Pelodiscus sinensis: one gene and its partner. The protein of the gene in region 2 binds, or shares a complex with, the protein of the main gene of each other region. Links are inferred from orthologs where the notes say so. Each region holds a gene or a part of one and is shown on either strand. Other genes may lie near its edges.

Region 1 (9,071 bases), on a different chromosome or scaffold from region 2:
ACAGGGCACCATACTTTCCAAGTGAAGTAAGGTAGCCTCTGGATACTCTGGATGTTCAAAATTAGGCATTTTGATTCACGTTTCTGTCACCAGTCAGCTAACTGTATATGTATGTCACCTTCCAATAGGAAAATAAGACCGAAGTGATGATCTGGAAAATAAAATGTTGTATTTGTTCATATACGGAGAAATGAAGTAAAAATAAATAAGAGGTGACAATCTTTCATTATAATCAGACTTTTTACCTAACAGGAATGACGACTATTAATATGATGGAAAAACGCAAAGACCTCATTCAGCACTGGGACCCAGTAATGCTAGCCTTATAAGGAAATAAAAGCAAAAGAGACAATAACTGCCCTAAAGGGTTTACAATTTTAAGACAAACAAAAAGGAGAAGTTGTGGATGCAACAAATGAGCAATGAACATGGTGAACAGCGGTCATGACTTTGCTAGTTACATGGATGCAGGTTTGTTTGTTTTAACTTTACTTTTTGAGAGTAAAGGTGCAAAGAAAAAGAGTAGAGAAAGAAAAGGAGAATAGTCTCAGCTGGTCATCTGCTTAGCCACAATTAACAAGCTGAGATTAGTAAACATCACAGCAAAAACCAGGTTTCAAAAAGAAGATAAAGAAGTGATTCTTCATATGTTATGTTGAGCATCAGGGACAGCATAGGCGAAAGCACAGAGGTTTTTAACAAGCAGCTAACTAATGGGTGATAAAGGATGGGAGCAAGCACTAGCAGAGTAAAAACATCATAATAGGCTGACATAATAGGTTACTAAATCAGTTAGATAGGAGGAGCTAAGTTAAGAGACGACTTTAAAGCAGGGGTCAGCAACCCATGGCTTGCGAGCCAAATATGGCTCACTAGGGAGCCAGATATGACTCTTTTGGAGACCCTACTCAGCCGCCTCCCAGCTCCTGCAGCAGCACTGAGCCAGAGCTGGCGCTACAGCCTTATGACCCCTACAAGACTGGAACGCCAGCACCAGCTTCCTGTGGGGGGAAAGGAGTGAGGAGGGAAAGCCCTGAGCCTCCCTTTCGGATCTTGCATGTGGGGAACAGACAGAATGAAAAATGGCTCCATGCACCATCCTTCCCCCCCGGTGCGGAACCAACGGCTGTGTGCCATTCTCTTTCCCTTAGGAAGCACTTCATGCAGGCTTCACCTGTGAATCCTGTCTAAAGACTTCCTTCCAGCACATGGGAGCAGCGGGGGGGCTATGTTACACTCAATGTGAAAGCACATAGTGCCCCCCAACCCTCATGCCCAAACCCCAAACTTCCCCTCACTCAGCCCCCCTCCCAGCTAGATACCCTGCCCCTAGCCCACTCCTGCCCCCGACCAGTAAGCCTGTCCTCAGCCCATTCCCCCACAGAACCCAACCTTGTGTCCTGCATGCCCCCACAACCCAACCTTGCACTGAGTCCATCATACACCCAAATCCTCTGCCCTGAGTCCCTCATGCACTTGCACCAAGACTCCTGCACGACCACATCCCCAGCCCCCGCCATAAGATTGACAAAAGACAGCCTGAATGCGTTCATAAAGCTGGATTTGACCAGTTATGATGTAAACTTCAAAGAAATGTGCAAAAAAATGCAGCAACGGAAGTCCCATTAAATAAAGTCCATGAGCACAAGGTTTCATTTATGCTATTAATCATTATGTCAATTATTAATAATATTAAATTGTATATTTTCTGTTATGCAAATGGGCATTCTTATCCGGCTCTTTGATGATCATTTGTTTAGAATTTTGAGACAGTTTGGCTGTTTGGTTTGAAAAGGTTGCCGACCCCTGCTTTAAAGGCACTACAAGAAGCTTTTATTTGGTGTCAAAATTAAGGGGGAGCCAATTGACAACGCAAACTAGGAATTAACATGATCAGAATGATGAACCAGAAATGCGGTCTTTAATTTGAATAGACTCAAGGCAAGCAAAAGTTGCAGCAATCAGGTCAACATGAGGACTATGATGAGAGTCTTCACTGAGCAGAGAAAAGAGACAAAAGGCTAGATTTTCAAGATCAGTGTTAAAAAAAAGGCAAGATTAAAAACATAGTGGCCCCATCAAAGATCACACCTAAACTACACTGCCTGAGTGACAGGGAGAACAGCAGTGTTGTCTATGCTGATAAAAGAAGATGGCCAGGTGAGAGAACCTGTGAGGAAAGGTTAAAAATCTCAGGTTTTGGCCATGTTTAGTTTAAAATAATGACTAAGAAGAAACAACCTGACATAGGACTGGATGAAGCAAGATACCTCATTAGCTGAGAGGAGGATCTATGATTTATCAATGTAAAGATGATACACTAAGAGCTTTACAAACATTAAAATACCCACGAGGCAAATCCTTTTTATGAGCAATGAAAGGAGAGCACGCAGCATCCCTGTTTCTGCACTGGGAAATGGGAAACGGGAAACCAAGCCGTCTTGACTCTCAAGGTTTACCTCCCATTTTTCTACCATTAAAATGTGTGAAACTGCATCTTGACACCATGCTATAAGTCGAACCTCTGTAATCTGGGATTCCCTGGTCCGGCAATATCCGTTGTCCAGCAGGACCACAGATATTCCTGTACCTGAGAGTCCCGGTGGAGGGCTGACAGCTGGGTTCCCCACAGGTGGGCTGCTTGGTGCCCTGCATCTGGACAGCCAGGCACAACCCAGCAGAGCTGGAAGCCCAGAGTGCCACAGCAGGGCTGCCCAATGGGGCCAGGAGCCCAGCACACAGGGAGCTGGGCTGACCATCATAGTAGGAAAGGAAGGAGGTGTTGGGACCAGCGAGGCTGGTGGCAAGAGGAATACTGCCAGGAGGCTGGTCCAGCAAAACCCCTCATCCAGGACTGGTCAGGTCCCGAGGGTAGCAGACCAGAGAGATCCACCCTTCATTTGCATGGCTATATCATGACATCACAATAGTGCACCAGGACAATACAATCACCTCATTGTGCCACCTCCTAAAGGCACTTTACTATATGCCACTAAAAACCCAGGACTCATCAGACAACTGACCCTGCAGCTCAAGACTTTGCTGCAAGCTTCGAACATGGTGGTTACTTTCCCACTAGCACCCATGCAATAACCCCCTCAGTCTCTGGGGAGGCAATTCACTCCTGCACCCCTGCTCCAGCCAGCACCCTGTGATTGTCAGGGCGGGGGAGGGGGGATCGCTGCGGCCATTGCCACCACAACCACCCCCCACACACACAGAGCAACGCCGCCCAGACCCACGCCTAATGCTGCGGGTGTGAAGAGGCGGAGTAGACATGAAAACAGACCCCAGCTCCGCCCACACTTTAACCCAACAGGCAGCGGCACCCCCCTGAAGCGGACAGCCCCGGCTTGGGCAACCCACACCCCGTGCCCAGCGCGCCGCAACTCCTCCCTCCCTCCCTCCCTCCCTCCAGGTCCTGCCGTGTTGGGGCAACCCTGACTCTGTCCGCCGCTCAGGCCCTCCGCTGACCCAGAGCCCTGGCAGCACCGCAGCTCTTCTCACAGCGCGCGAGCCTAGGCAAGACGCGCGCGCATTCTCCCTTCTCCCCCCGCCTCCCGCAAACGTCCGCCAACACACAGAACCGGACACTCACCCCGAACCCCAACGGTCACGCTGCTTTCGCGGGCGAGGACTCCGAACCGAGCGCCCGCCTTTGCGCATGCGCACATTGCTCCGATGGTTACCCCCCTCCCTCCCGAATGCGCAAGCGCCAACTCTGCACATGCGCGTTAGGAAATTGAAGTTTCCCCTGGTAACCACGCCCATACTGCGCCCGCTCCCAAGCGTAAAGCCAGAAATTTGTGTGGCTTAGGGTTGAACAAGAGCAATGGGGGAGCCGACAGCCTCGCTGGGCCCTGAGCAATTGGGGGGAGGGGAAGGTCGCTATCGTGGAAGAGCCGCCCCAACCATGGAACGCCCCCACCCTCAGCGCTGCCGGGGGTTCCAGCGGTGCTTTAAAGGGCCCCTTCCCCCCTCTCCCAGAGCCCGAGGGCAGTGGATGTTGGGCTCCAGAGAGAAGAGGAGCAGTAGGATGGCAGAAGACAAGGAGGAGCCTGGGGACAGGGCTCACCTGACTATCTAGGCCAGGGGTGGGCAGTAATTTTTGACGAGGCCACTCCAAGATTTTGGAAAAAGTAGTCAAGGGCCTCGCTCTTCCATGATATTAATGGAAGAGGTGCAAGGTCTGGGATGGAGGCTGGGTGCAGAAGGGAGCTTGGGGTAAGGGCTTGGGGTGCAGGAGTGAGAATGCGTAAAGGAGGTGGTTGTGACCTAATGGAGGGGACTGGGATGCAAGGTTTTAGGATGTGACCTAGGGTAGGAGTGGATTATGATCTGGTGCAGGAGATTGGGGGGGGGCAGATCTGGGAGAGAGGGTTGGCAAAGGGAGGGGCTGGGGTGCTAGAGGCAGGCTCTGGCCAGGAAACTCACAAGCCAGCAGCCAAATCTGCCTTCCTGCGGATCTTAAAATGTTTCTCTGTCAGCCAGCTTGCACCTAGCCATGTGTTTCTGTGAATAACAGCTGGAGGGGAAGGGGGGTGGTGCTTCCTGGCTGCCTGTTATTCAGACAGGCTGCTCTCATTGGCCAGTTTCTGGCCAGAAACCAGCCAATGGGATTGTGCTGGGGGCAGGGGCACTGCCTGAAGCTCACCCCTCCCTCCTTCCAAGATTACAGTTTTGCAAGGAAAAGAGGGTCAAATAGCCACATTTCTGAACAGCCTGCTGGGCAAGCAGGGGAGCTGCCTAGGTCTCCCTGGTGCCTCTGTGAGCTGGATCTGGTGGGATTGGCCGTATTTTTCCCAGGCCTGATCTAGGTGGTCACTTAGGGCACCAGGCTTTAAGGATTGCTAAACTAGATGGCAGTGATTTTTTTTCCCTTTAAACAAAGTGTCACATTGCTGGATCTTGAGGGGAGCAGCCAGATCACTGATGCACCCATAGGTGGGGGTGTTGGCCCCAAAAATGGTATAGAAGGGGGCCATGTGAGGTATTGAATATCTGATAATCCTATGTACGCTGTTCATGTGTTTGTATAATGTCTGTGTGTGCAATTATTAACATGTACTTGTGTGGACACTGAAGATTTCCCTGCATGTGGTTAAGCATTGGGCAGGGCCGAGCCTGTGGAGCCTGTGGACATGCTAATTACCTGTGGAACAATGGCTCTCAATGGGCCAAAGACACACCCAAAGAATGGGGGCTGTCACCTGAGAGCAGCCAGCAGGGAACACAGAGAGGCTGAGGACCAGGTGACCTGCTGCATACCAGAAGAGGCCAGGAAGGAGGTATAAAGAGGCCATGTGGTCGATGCCATTTTGTTCTCAGCTCAGCACTTCATCCCAGAGGCAGCACTGCAGGGATCGAAGAGCCCGGAAGACCTGTGAACCCATCCTGATCTTAGGATGTGCAATAAGAACTTTTAAACCAGCAGCTGCAACATCTCTGCTAGAGCCTGCATCGAGAACTGGGAGATTCGGTGCATGTAATGTACTGTACTTTAATAACCTTACTCTCATGCTTTTCTTTCTTATGTTAATAAACCTTTAGTTGTTAGATGCTAAAGGATTGGCCCAGTGTGATTTGTGGGTAAGGTCCAAAGGATAAATTGGCCAGAGATCTGTGGCTGATTTCTTGGAACCGGACAGAACTTGTTCGGGGTAGGTGGGATTGGGTGCTAGGACCCCCCAGCTGTGTATGAGGTCCGGGGCCATCTGGGGCATGGTTATTGCTGGGGTGTCGGAGGAGTTTTGCTTGTGAGGCTTCAGGCAGGCTGCTGAAGCGTTCTGTGGGACTGGTTTGTGGCCTGTATGGAGAGGTCACAAGTCTGGGGGCTGTAAGGAGCCCCGGATTTGAGCAATTCGCCCTGAGCAGACGCCCTCAGCTGTGCCCAGACATGGCCCGGTCCGTCACACAAAGTTGTCTCTGTGACGGGGTAAGGTCACGGAAGACCCCTTGGGTGTGCCCCCCAGAGTACTGACATGGCCACTGCCACTCACCTACCTACTCTCTGGGGCTTTTCACTGCCTGGTGCTGCTAGGCTAGCTCCACTTTTCTTCCCCCAGCCAAGGCCCTGAGCTCATATCCCTACTACCCCTCACCCCCCCATGAAGCAGTACCAACACTGAACCTATTCAGGTCCAAGGAGAGTGCAGTTTGGGGCCCAGCTTCCTGGGATACCACTCCCCCAAATGGGATCAAATCCCCAATTAATTACTTGGGTGAGCCCCCTTTAACAATGAAAGGGGGAATGTGCACATTGATTGCTCCCCCAGGTAATAATTGTTTACACTGGGCTTGATAGTAAGCAAAAGTGATTTTATTAAGTACAAGCAATAGGATTTAAGTGGTTATAAGTGAGAATAGTCAGCGCAAAAAAGATTACAAACTCAAAAGTAACAGGCGCTTAGCTAATTCTGACACAAAAATCCTCAGCACAAACTTACTATAAACTCACCTTAAAACTGTTTCTGTTCCAGGTGCACCTTCAAAACCAGGACATTTCCACTTTGCCTAGGGTCTCTGGTTCATCCTCCCTGGGTGTGTCGAGCCAGCCCAAAGACCTAGACTCCTCTTTGTCTATTCTTTTTAAAGAATTCCCTTAGGGTGCGTCTAGACTGGCAAGATTTTGCGCAACAGCGGCTGTTTTTGTGCAAAAACTTGCCAGCTATCTACACTGGCAGCTTGAATTTGCACAAGAGCACTGACTTTGTAATGTACAAAATCAGTGCTTCTTGCGCAAATACTTTCATGCTCCCGCTCGGGAAAAAGCCCTCTTGCGCAAGAATACTTGTGCAAGAGGGCCAGTGTAGACAGGGAAGAACTGTTTTGCGCAAAAAAGCCCCGATGGCTAAAATGGCGATCGGGGCTTTCTTGCGCAAAATCGTGTATAGACTGGCCATGGGTGCTTTTGCGCAAAAGCATCCGTGCCAATCTAGACGCGCTTTTGCGGAAGTACTTTTAACGGAAAAACTTTTCTGTTAAAAGTATTTCCGCAAAATCATGCCAGTCTAGACACACCCTTATTGTATGGGGAGTCATCTGGTCCCTCCCAACTATCACTACTAAGCCTTAAGGACAAAAGGCAATAGCATATGATTGCCCAGACACTGAGGCCCCACTTGATGCCTTTCCATCTACATATTTTAAAAACAAAATAGTCTCTACTCCATGTGTCTAATTTCACACACAAGAGTGATACATACACCAAAATAAACAGAACCAGCGGATTTTGACATGAAGGTTGATAGGTTACATGAAATAATTTGTTCAAAGCATCTATGAGTAAAATATATTTATGTCCAGAAGTCCATTTCATAAAGCATGGGTTGATGGTCCATCACACTCTCATAAACCAAAATATCCAATATTATATGTGTAAAACAGTGCATCATTGCCATGTCAGAAACTGAGTTATTGTTTATTTCACATTGTAAACACAGCTGTGCATGAAAATACAGATGGCAAAGCTTCAAAAGAGTGCCACCGGTGTTTGCTGCCTAGTGGTGAGGTCTGGCAGTTCAGTCATTCTCAGTAGCCCACTCCTAGGCTGTCTACACATTGGCATGATTTTGCTGCCTGTCTACACTGGCGGGGAGTTCTTGCGCAAGAACACTGATGTTCTAATGTGTGAAATCAGTGCTTCTCGCACAAGAACTATGATGCTCCCGCTCAGGAATAAGCCCTCTTGCTCAACTGTTCTTGCGCAAGAGGCCAGTGTAGACCGGCAACATGAATTTCTTGCGCAAGAAAGCCCGATGGCTACACTGGCACGGACGCTCTTGCGCAAAAGCACGTGTCTTGCGCAAAGGCACATGCCAGTGTAGACGCTCTCTTGCACAAATACTTTAACGTAAAAACTCTTGCGTTAAAAGTATTTGCGCAAAATCTTGCCAATGTAGATGTAGCCATACAGTTCATAGAGTGCTAGAACTGAAAGGGACCTCAAGAGATCAAGTCCAGTCCCCTGCCCTCATGGCAGGGCCAAGTACTGTGGAGAATAGATCATCCCTGATAGATATTTAACCTGTTCTTAAATATCTCCAGTGATGGAGATTTCATAACCTCCCTAGGCAATTTATTCCAGTGTTTAACAACCCTGACAGAAAGCTTTTCCTAATGTCTAACGTAAACCTCCCTTGCTGCAATTTAAGTCCATTGCTTCTTGTCCTATCATCGGAGAACAAGGAGAAAATTTTTTCTCTCTCCCCTTTGTAACACCCTTTTAGGTACTTGAAAACTGCTCTCATGTCTCCTCTCAGTCTTCTCTTTTCCAAACTATGCATTTCCAATTATTTCAGTCTTCCTCATAAGTCATGTTTTCTAGATCTTTATTCTTTTTTTTTTTTTTTGCTCTTTTCTGGAACTTCTCCAGTTTCTCCGCATCTTTCTTGAAATATGGAGCCCAGAACTGAACATAATACTACAATTGAGGCCTAATCAGTGCAGAGTAGAGTGGAAGAATCACTTCTCATGTCTTGCTCACAACACTCCTGTTAATGCATCCCAGCATCATGTTTGCTTTTTTTGCAACAGTATTTCACTGTTGACTCATATTTAGCTTGTGATCAACTATGACCCCTAGATCCTTTTGTATAGACTGTTGCTAGATCCTTCTTAGACTGCCGCTTCCCATTCAGTATGTGTAAAACTGATTTTTCCTTCCTAAGTGGAGTACTTCATCCTATTTACCTCAGACCATTTCTCTAGTTTGTCCAGATTATTTTGAATTATGACCCTATCCTCCAAAGCACTTGCAACCCATCCCAGCTTGGTATCATCTGCCAACTTTTAATAATCGTAGTCTCTATGCCATCATCTAAATCGTTGATGAAGATATTGAACAGAACCAGTCCCAAAACAGACCCCTGCAGAACCCCACTTGTTATGCTCTTCCAGCATGATTATGAACCATCAATAACGCTTTCAGTTGAGTCAGTGTTGATTGCTGCTTAGTGAAAGCTGGTCACTGACCCACAATAGTTCTGCCATGTTACAAGCTGTGATCCCAAAGATACTGTTCCCACAAAGAATTTGCATTGTGTTGGATTGAGTTTTAACAAGATTGTAAA
Region 2 (9,434 bases):
AATAACAGATTAAGAATAATTTAAGAAGTGCTTATATACACACACAAGTACACGCACGCATACACTTCTATTATTTACCTTATGCTTCACTCTCTTTAGGCAGTCTTAGCAAAGCCGCCAATGAATTTATGAATTTAAGGCCTGAAACTCCCTCTGGTTTTTAGGTGGTTAATCTAAAGATATTATAAACATGTAATTAACAATCTATCATTTTGGGTCAAAATTGCTAAAATTAGTTAAAATATTAACAAAATTTATTTCCATTAACTTTACTTAAACACTAACATCTCTTATGTATTACAGGAAAGTAGATCTGAGTCACTTTTTTCTAAAATTTCATTCCATGTTCCTTTTAATACCTAATGTGTATTTTGGTTCTTATATGGCAGTAGTCTCCAACCTTTTAAAGTATGAGATCACTTTTTGAATTTAAGTGCAATCCAGGATCTACCTCAAACCCAAATACCTTTGCCCCACTTCCTTCGTGACACTTCTCAAAGGCCCCGTCCCTGCTCACTCCATCCTTCCTCCCTGTCATCAGAAGGGAGAGAGGGTTTGGGGCACAGTCTTTGGTTTTGGGCTATGGGATTTGGAGTGTGAGAAGGGCTCTGAGCTGAGCCTGGGGCACTGGTTGGTGTGCCATAGGTGGTTCAGGGTAAGGCTCTGTAAGGGAGTCTGGGTCTTGGGGGGGCTCAGGGTTAAGGCAGGGGCTTGGGGTGCAGGAGAGGGTTCATGACTGGGACAGGGATTCAGGGTGCAGAATCCAGCTGGACACTGCTTACCGCAGGTGGCTCCTGTGAGGTGGTACAGTGGGGCTAAGGCAGGCTCACCCCTACCCTGGCCTTGTACGACTCCTAAAAGCAGCCAGCAATTCCCTCCATCCCAAACCCTGTTGTGCCCTCCTCCCCTGTTCTGTGGCGATAGAATATGGAGCGGGAGAGGGGAACAGCTCCAAGGCAAAGGGCAGGACTTTCACAGCAGTGGGGGAGGGGTAGTGGACGTGCCAGCCCTTGACAGCTTCTTGGCCTAACCAGTCAGAGGCTCCAAGATCTACCAGTAGATCCCCATCCACTGATTGGTGATCGCTGTTATACAGATTAAATGAACCTTACTGGAAACTGTATGAGTAAAATTATAGTTTAAAAATATTTACAGGCACTAACAATTGAAAAGTAAAGATGGCTCTCTACTCTGCATCATGTTTTACTCCCATTGAAAGGAGTGCCAAAACTGATTTCAATGGAACCCAAACCATGGAATACATTTTCAAAAGCACCTCAATGATTGTGGGCCCAAGTCTCAATTTTCAAGCGACCAAAGTTCTTATCTCCTAAGTCTCATTGAAAAATCAATGAGATTGTTGACTTAAGTGTTTAAGTCACTTTGGAAATGATATATGCATTTTTGAAATTAAAGCCCTTACTCTGAGAACTGCTCTGCACATGTGGGCTTTTACACTGCAAGAAGCCCTACTGTCAAGAATGGAACTCCTTGTGGTCAAAAGGTTCTACCACCAAAGAGTAGTCTGAAGGAGTGAGGTGTGTCTCAAGAATTCATTGCTGATCCACAAGCTAACATTGTCATCACTGGCTGTGTTCAATCAACTAGTTCCTGAATGCTGATCTCCCTTAAATAAAATCACTGTGAAGAAAATTGTGAAAAAGTCTTACTGACAGAATAGTAACTACAAGCCTCAGTGAAAAACAAGACAGTTTTTTGTTAGTAAAGTTGTTAATGATACCACAAAGGTTCAATTTTCCTAGATAGATCAATTTTCAATTTTCTGATAGATCAGAATACTAGCTTCCCAATAAAAAGACAAGGGTCAGGACCATAGAAAGGAACACGTTTTGGTTAAAGGTGAACAATACTCCTTTACAAAAATATTTAAATCTAACTAAAATAAAGATCACATGCTTATGTAAAATAACTAGCAAATAAACAAACTAATCACCAAGTTAACACCAGAAGAAACTGATAATTTTGAATTTAAAAATACCAACATATAGATCTGACCTGAACAAGATCTTTAAATGTTTTTGGTTTGTAAATCTAGTGTAGCCTACATAGTTATTGTAGCTTCCTGATCATTCAAATCTAACTCTACAAACACACATTTTTGGTAAAAAAAAAAAAAATGAACAAGAGACATAAATAAATGTTGCGTATACAAATGATCTAGTTTTCAACAGGGAAAAATACAGAAATGTTCCTAAATGCCTAAAAAGAAACCAAAAATCTTTAATACTTGCTTATGATACTAGAATAATTACTTAAACACAGAACAAAAAAATGCTACTTAGTAATAATTGTTGATTACTAACAGTTTCCCATAATTCCAGTTGATGCAGTTTTTAGCAAATTATTTAATATTGTATATTATGGCAGCATCCTAAGGACCTCTATTACAATTAAGGCCTCTTTGCAGTATAGTGCACTATACATCACAGAAATAGACTGTCCCTGCTCTGACTGGATTATCATCTAAGGCTTGGACCTATATTCCCCAAGATAAGCCTCAGTGAAGTCAGTGATGGTCTGCTAGCACAGACCTGACTGTAGAATCAGGGCCTAAGAAATCTATGATCTCAAACGCAGTTCCTCCCTATAGAGAAAAATTTGTAAAGATACTGGGTTAACAAACCAAAACCTTCCAAAAACTATGATGTTAGAAATTTGGCTCAATTTTTTACTGAGCAACCAGTTTAAAAATGTAGTTTACAGATTTTAACATTAAACCAATAAATTGAGCATTTGCCCTATGTAATAAATAACAAATTTCTCTCTTTGTATTCTGGATTTGCAGGATAAATTGCAGATGGAGTTGAAATAGGACTGACATTGAGGGCCTAAACTTGAACATAGCATAGGTTTGTATGTGCAGATTAAACATATCAATGGTACCTCAGAGTAAGAAAAGAATTAATCACATTATAAAAGGTTGGTATGAAACAGGAAAAAAAGATTATTCCTGGATAAGCTTTTAGCTATGTGTCTCTAGTGTTGCTTGTAGTAAAATAAAAAGACAACTGCAGTTTTCAAGAATGGGTTCCTATACATATTTGCTGATCTCTAAAAGAAATTTTACTTTACAAATTGGATTTTTTAAATAATTCTGAATACAGCAAGTTGTTTTGCCTTCACAAGCTAAACAGAAAACTAACAGGAAGACAATTCTACAGAACTATACTAAGATTTGCTACTCCAACCTCTTTTCACAATATTTTTCAAGTATTCTTCTACATTTGTTTTTCTCCAATCCTTTCCAACCTTATCAAATTGCTGTTTTCATATTGCCAGCTTGATCATGAAATTGATGCTTTGCATAAAATATTTTCTGCTGATGCAAATTATGGGATCAGAAATACTGAAGCATTTACAAGTGAAGGGATTTGTGCATTCCTCTTCAAGTACTGGATAAAGATGTACATGTAGCAAGCTGAATCCCATTTTGCTGAGATGCCCCATTGAAAAGCACAATCTCTGGCCTACCTCACAGTTTAGAAATAGCTTGCATTATTTACTAAATTAATAGCACACAGCTTTCTTTTTAAAAAGAGAATTACATGACCAAACAAATACAACACAGAAATCATTCACAGGCAACATTATTTTTTAAAACAAATGCCCTTGTAAAAGAGATGACATTGAAATATAAAACCAATTTATCATTAACTCAAACTTTCTTCTGGATTCCTATGACTCTAAAAGACTTTTCGGATGCTTTCCTGAAAATATAAGTTTAATTATCAAATTAAGTAGATATTTTTGGCATGTGAATTTTACAATAATGAAGAAACTAGTTAGTTAAAACTGAAAGTGGTACCTAACCCAGACAACTATTTAGTGCAGTACATATTCTGCTAAAGAGATTTGGCCTTCCTATCAGCAAATCATGACAAAAAATTAATGTAAAATATTTAAGAAGAACTAATTCCTTATTCTAAGTATATAGATGACATTGCATATGCCCTGATCCTGCTAATATTTACATATTAGAGTAGACCTATATTAAGATTACTTAGATGCTTAAAGTTAAGCAGGTGCATAGAGCTTTACAGGATCAGGGCCTTAATGATTATATAACTAAGTTTAGTTATTTATATTATTAACAGCAGCAACATGCATCTATACAAAACAAAGACAGATAAAAAATTCCAAAGAATTTTCACCACCATATTAATATTTTTGTCTTTTGAATTTCCTATTTTGACACAGGAAATACAAGCACTTTAGAAAGAAGTCACATATAAAAACAAATCTTGACCCAACCCCCTTTTAATACTTCACCTATCTCTTTACACAGAAAACTATTTGTTCAAAAGACAAATACCAAAGAAAACCAAGAGACAAATACTGCTCCCAGAAACAGCAAATCCCCAAATCTAAAGCAGCTCTAAAAAGAGGGAGATGTTGGAACACACTTGAGAGTACCATTAGCAATGCTGGATCATCATCTACCATGACATTTCCTCATACACTGAAAAATAAATACAACTGAGGTAGGACATGGAGAAAGGTTTCCACTTCCTCAAACAGTGAGTAAAAAGTGACAGATATGAGCACTGTAATATCTTCTTCCCAAACAGGAGTAGGAGGATTAGAGTAATACACAAAACTGAAGTCTATCATTTGGAACATGAAAAATAAGCCACTTTGCCAAACCAGTAAACAATCAAACTATCTATCATCAAAACTAAAAGATGGAAAACAAACACTTTCCCCAACCCCAGCCCCCAAACCTGCCTGCCCTAGAGAAGCAGAGGTGGGAGGAGGTATTGCTTGCCCACACACAAACACACTTACCTTGGCTGCACCCCACTTTTATTCCCTTCCCTGGAGCAGTGGAGAAAGAGACACACACAAAGGGTAATAAAGGGGGAGGAGGGGAGAGCAGGGGGTGGGGGAGCTGGTGAACTGGCTGCTGCTCCTCTGTGTGTGTGGTGAGGTGTCTCCAGCCAGGGCCAAGCAGCAGCAGCAGAGAGAGAAGGGACCGTGTTGCTAAGAGGCTTTTGGTCTCTTTCTCTCTCCTCTGACGGGCGGGGGGGGGGGGGGGGGGAAGAAACTCTCCTTCTCTCCCTGTGTCTCCCTGGGATCTTCTAGCTGGGCTGGGTTGGGGAGAAACTCAGGCGCCTCACACCAACCCTTCCCCTTCCCCACACACCAATTCAAGATGGAATTAGTGCTCTGTCCCTTTAACAATATAAATAAAAGGTCCCCCAGTCTCCCCCTCTCTCTTCATCATCAGCTGCTGCTACTGCTGCTGCTGCTGAGGCTCTAGCTCTGGCTGGGAGAAAGATGGGAGGCTGCTACTGCGCGTGCGCCCCAAGGGGGCTCGGTGGGTTGAAGGGGGGGTGGAAAGAGGTTGCTCTCCACAATGCACCGCGCGGCTGGAGAACCCGGAAGGAGATGCCGTTGAAGGAAAGGAAGTTGCGGAGTGGGTGTGGGAGGGGGAGGGAGAAGTGGAGCGGAAGTGAGTGAGTGGGCGTGAAGGGGGCAGAGTTGAGGCGAGTCAAGAGTGGCGGGGGGAGAAGGGGCGGTGCTATAGTCGCCACGTGACAGCGAGCGATGTGCGCGGGGGGTGCCGGGAATGTTTCTGGGGCACTAGCGGGCGAGGAGGGAGGTTGCGCTACTAGAGATCGAAGCGCTCGCGCAGGCGGGCGATAGCGAGTGAGCGGAGCCGGCCTAGGTAGGGCATCCGAGGGCCAGGCGCGCGAACCGGCAAGGAGATGGCGGGCAGTGACAGGACGTGGCGGAGGAGGGCGGGCGAGCGAGCGAGAACCCTGACCCGGTGCGGACGAAGGGCGGCGGGGTCCCGGGGGTGTTCCCCTCCTGCCGCCTTGTGTTCCCGGGCCCCGTGGGGGGCTCTGTCCCGGTCTCAGGTCCTTGGGCCTGGCTGTTGTGCGGCGGAAGGGCTGCGTCCCGGTGCTCTGCCCCGAGGGGACTTGGGGGGGGCCTTCGGCAGCGCGAGGCGGGGGATGATGCTCATGGCGACGCGGCGGTGAGGGCTAGGGAGCATCGCGCGCCAGCGAGGCCTCGTGAGACTCCTGCCTCAGGAATCGCTTCCTGCCCAGTGAGCCCGGCACTGATCCGGGTGGCCGTGCTGGCCTTGGGTCACTTGCTGTGATCCTGAAAAATTGAGTCGCCCGACTTCGTCCCCAGTGACCTCCCAGCAGAGCCGAACTGGTGTCTGGTGCGTCCGCTTCTGACCCGTGCTGACCGATGCTGACGCCTTGTGTGTTGCAGAGGGGAATTCTCTGGAAGAAAGAGCAGACGGTGATACCGACTATTCGTAGCTTAAACCCGGCTTCTGGGCATTCCTTTGTGCCAGTCAAAGGCACTTATTATTTTTGTCAGATTTCTTAGGCACTGAAGGTGAAACTTCTTGTAATTTTAAAGTTAAAGTGGTTGAAGTGCCTCCAGTTGAATGGATGGAAAACTGAAGGAGTTAATTTTATTTACAAAGGTGTTTATAGCCACCTTATCTGGAACATTGTTAACTCTACTTAACATTGACTATGCTCTGTAGGGGCAGATTTTGGGTGTAAAATAAAAAACTTTACACAGTGATTAACCAGAATAAAGGTAGATGCTGCACTATAGATCAATCCTGCATCCTATGATTGCTCCTTTGGACTTTTTGAATTAGGCTCCTTTCTGGTGGAGCTTTGACTTTGGTTATATCTACTCTACAACTAAGCAAACCTAACTTAGGATGTTCAGAGGTGTGAAAAACACACTCACTGAGCAATGTAAGTTACACCAAGAGAAATACTGGAGTGTTCAGCACTGTTGGCAGGGGAGCTTCTCCCACTGACCTAGCTACTGCCATTTGTGAAAGTGGTTTTATCATGTTGGAAAGTTTTTCTGCTAGCATAGAGCAGCTGCACAAGTCTTGAAGCATCACTGTTGCTTATGTAGACATTACAGCTAAGACCATGGGCTCACCTAAACTTTGTTTTTTATTAGATTTGGTTCTGTGGAACAAAACAAAGTAATCATTGGTGCTCTCTCATACCAAGCACTGAAGGTATCAAAATGAGCGATTACAGATCTGTGAAAGCATTCTCCTTTCTTACTTTAAATAAAATGGTTAACAAATTACTACAGTTGTCAATAATACATTAACACTTCAGTTAAATAAAGGGGCTAGCGCACAGAGGTAGGTGATGTATTTTGGTGTTATTGTTGAGTAACAGAGTGGGTCTTCATTGCACTGTTAACCTGAGTGATTGGCATGTGGGATGGTCTAGTGAGTCAATTTGTGATCATCCCCATAACAAATCACTACTTACATTCTCATTGCATCTGCACTTTTCAGTGTATATCTGGGATCGTATCTCTCATGTGTCTTTGTGCTGAGATGCTCTAGGATTCTTTGCCTGTCAATTGTACAATGTGCAGGATATATATGAGACTTCAGTGACTTCCGTTTTTTTTAATCTTCTTCCTATTGCAAAGCGAGTGTGTTTCAATCAAGCCATGTAAGCTAGTCCAGGCTTAGCACATCCAATCCTATACCATGTGTCTTTTTCCAGATATATGGTAAGCATTCTGGAGCTAAAAAGGTTAACTCTCCTTTGAGACATACCCACAGACATTTGTGGTTTCTCTGTTCAAATTTTGAGGCTTTTATGCAACCATAGCAATTGAAGACTTTTTTTTTAAGCAAAAGCTGAAATCCTGTTGAACATGATAGTATCTTCAAAAGAGTACTGATAAGGTTTAAAAGCACGTCAGCTGCTTCTGAGCCCTGGAGATAAACTTAATTTATAGTGTTTTGTTTGTAGGTACCATTATGGTAAGTTACGCCTTATTTACACCACTCTGCCATCACAACTATGTCAGAGATCTGAAAGGTATGATCTCTACAGATTCTTATGGCATAGCTATGTTGTAGGGAAGATGAAGCAGCACTGGCATAACTGCTTTTACTGGAACGGAGGTTTTGCCTTTTTTGCTCTATCCACATTAGGAACACTTTTATGGTATAGTATTCCATTGGTTCTATGCTGATAAAGCTTTCCTATTGTGGATATAGCCTTGGCTACAGCAGAGGTCATTTGAAACTTTTTGAATAGTAGCTTTTATGTAATCTTAACAAAGGCCAGAAAGGAACTTTTGATCACCTTCAGTGACTTGTGTAATACAGGACATTCAATTTCACCCAATAATATCTGTAGTATAAATGAAATATTAACCTCACTGAGAACATACATACATGTACACAAGGAGTGTGATTCTGCTACTCTTCTTCTCATTGATCCAGTGAGTTCAATAGAACTACCAAGTGTAAGAAAGGGCTCCAAAGTTTGGCCCTTAATTTTTAAAATCCGAGCATACATCAGTCGCGCAGAAGGTTGCATTATTTTCTTTATAAAAAGTAGTAGTATTCACTCTTAGCTTTTCTGAGTATCTGCAATGGTTGGTTTGTTGTTTTTAATTGAGGATGTGGACATGGTGGTAGATTTAAAAAAAAATGAAATTCTTAACAAACTGGTGAACAAGTGAGGGGAATAGTGTTAATTTTTGTTCTGAAACTGTATATTGTTAAACTACCCAGTAACAGTAACAGGAAACTCCTTTCTCCATATAATGAGTTTAATTGACTGTACTTAAAAATAGTTCCCATGTATACTGGAAATAGTCTCTCCATTAAAACAGGTATGTCTAGAAGTACACCTATGTTGATTGTTGTCCACAGAGATGTTCTGTATTTCTAAAAGGTAACTAGAAAACGAGAATCTTCTTGAAAGGTAAAGTGTAATTGATAATCGGATGTAACTGATTTATAATATGAGAACACTCCTGGGACTGCTCCAATCCTCCTGGGGCAGCCCCTGCCTTAGACACATGCACACTGTCTGCACTGGGCCCTGTCCTGCTTCAGCCTCCACCCATTAACCAGAACTGGTAAGTATCACATGTTAAGGGTGCTGTTCAGGGCTCAACAAACAATGTAATCTACTCGCCTGTGGTGAGTAGATTACACCTCGGAAGAGCCAGCGCAGAGCAAGAGCCGGCGCAGAGCAATCTGCACATGAGCAGAATGATCTGCGCAGAGCGCAGAACCACACGGCTGCTTGGCGAGCCCTGGTGATGTTTACCAGTTAACCTTTCCTATATCAGTGCTGAATGAGATAAATAGTTGAGTGTTGTCAGCTGTGGCCTGGTCTACACAAGGGATGTTAAAATATGTTTATTTAAAAGCTGGCTCCCACCTGCCTCCTTCCCCATGCAGAGGCAGTAGTGCAGGAGGCTCTGTGGGAGCTTGTACATGTCGGGAGCCGGCTTGAAAGTCAGCTGCCCATGCACAATGGTTTCCACCCTCCCCAGGCCTGCCCTGCTGCTCAGGCTCATCAGTTAATGGTGTACACAGGTACGTGTTCACATATCTAGTCTATGCTAGGAATTCAAGTGGGTATAGCTATGTC

What was found.
Region 1: the proteins of ORC4 (region 2) and ORC5 are in contact, whole or in part, in a cryo-EM structure (PDB 7JPO), measured with the Homo sapiens proteins. The link is inferred for Pelodiscus sinensis from reciprocal best matches to the Homo sapiens genes ORC4 and ORC5. Residues at the interface, in NP_001177808.1 of Homo sapiens: Ser18, Gln21, Arg22, Arg25, Glu26, Cys29, Arg30, Gln31, Arg69, Thr74, Asn100, Leu102, Leu103, Gln104, Ile105, Ile109, Glu113, Arg116, Asp162, Arg277, Met281, Met284, Leu285, Asn288, Met311, Asp312, Ser313, Lys314, Asn316, Ile317; in NP_002544.1 of Homo sapiens: Ile17, Ser20, Leu21, Phe22, Gly23, Glu24, His26, His27, Phe28, Ser29, Phe30, Pro31, Tyr36, Gly37, His38, Thr39, Thr98, Phe99, Asn100, Val103, Arg104, Arg131, Glu134, Asn136, Pro139, Gly140, Arg143, Gln145, Glu146, Leu147.

What each region holds. Positions count from the first base shown.
Region 1 is NC_134711.1:24,345,480-24,354,550, forward strand, and holds the start of ORC5 (origin recognition complex subunit 5), read right to left. Parts: upstream 3,729-9,071; 5' UTR 3,599-3,728; intron 3,564-3,598; exon of another isoform or gene 3,475-3,563; intron 152-3,474; 5' UTR 70-151; coding exon 1-69. UniProt on the Homo sapiens protein: Component of the origin recognition complex (ORC) that binds origins of replication. DNA-binding is ATP-dependent. The specific DNA sequences that define origins of replication have not been identified yet.
Region 2 is NC_134717.1:25,683,246-25,692,679, reverse strand, and holds the start of ORC4 (origin recognition complex subunit 4), read left to right. Parts: upstream 1-5,539; 5' UTR 5,540-5,689; intron 5,690-5,699; exon of another isoform or gene 5,700-6,375; intron 6,376-9,434. UniProt on the Homo sapiens protein: Component of the origin recognition complex (ORC) that binds origins of replication. DNA-binding is ATP-dependent. The specific DNA sequences that define origins of replication have not been identified yet.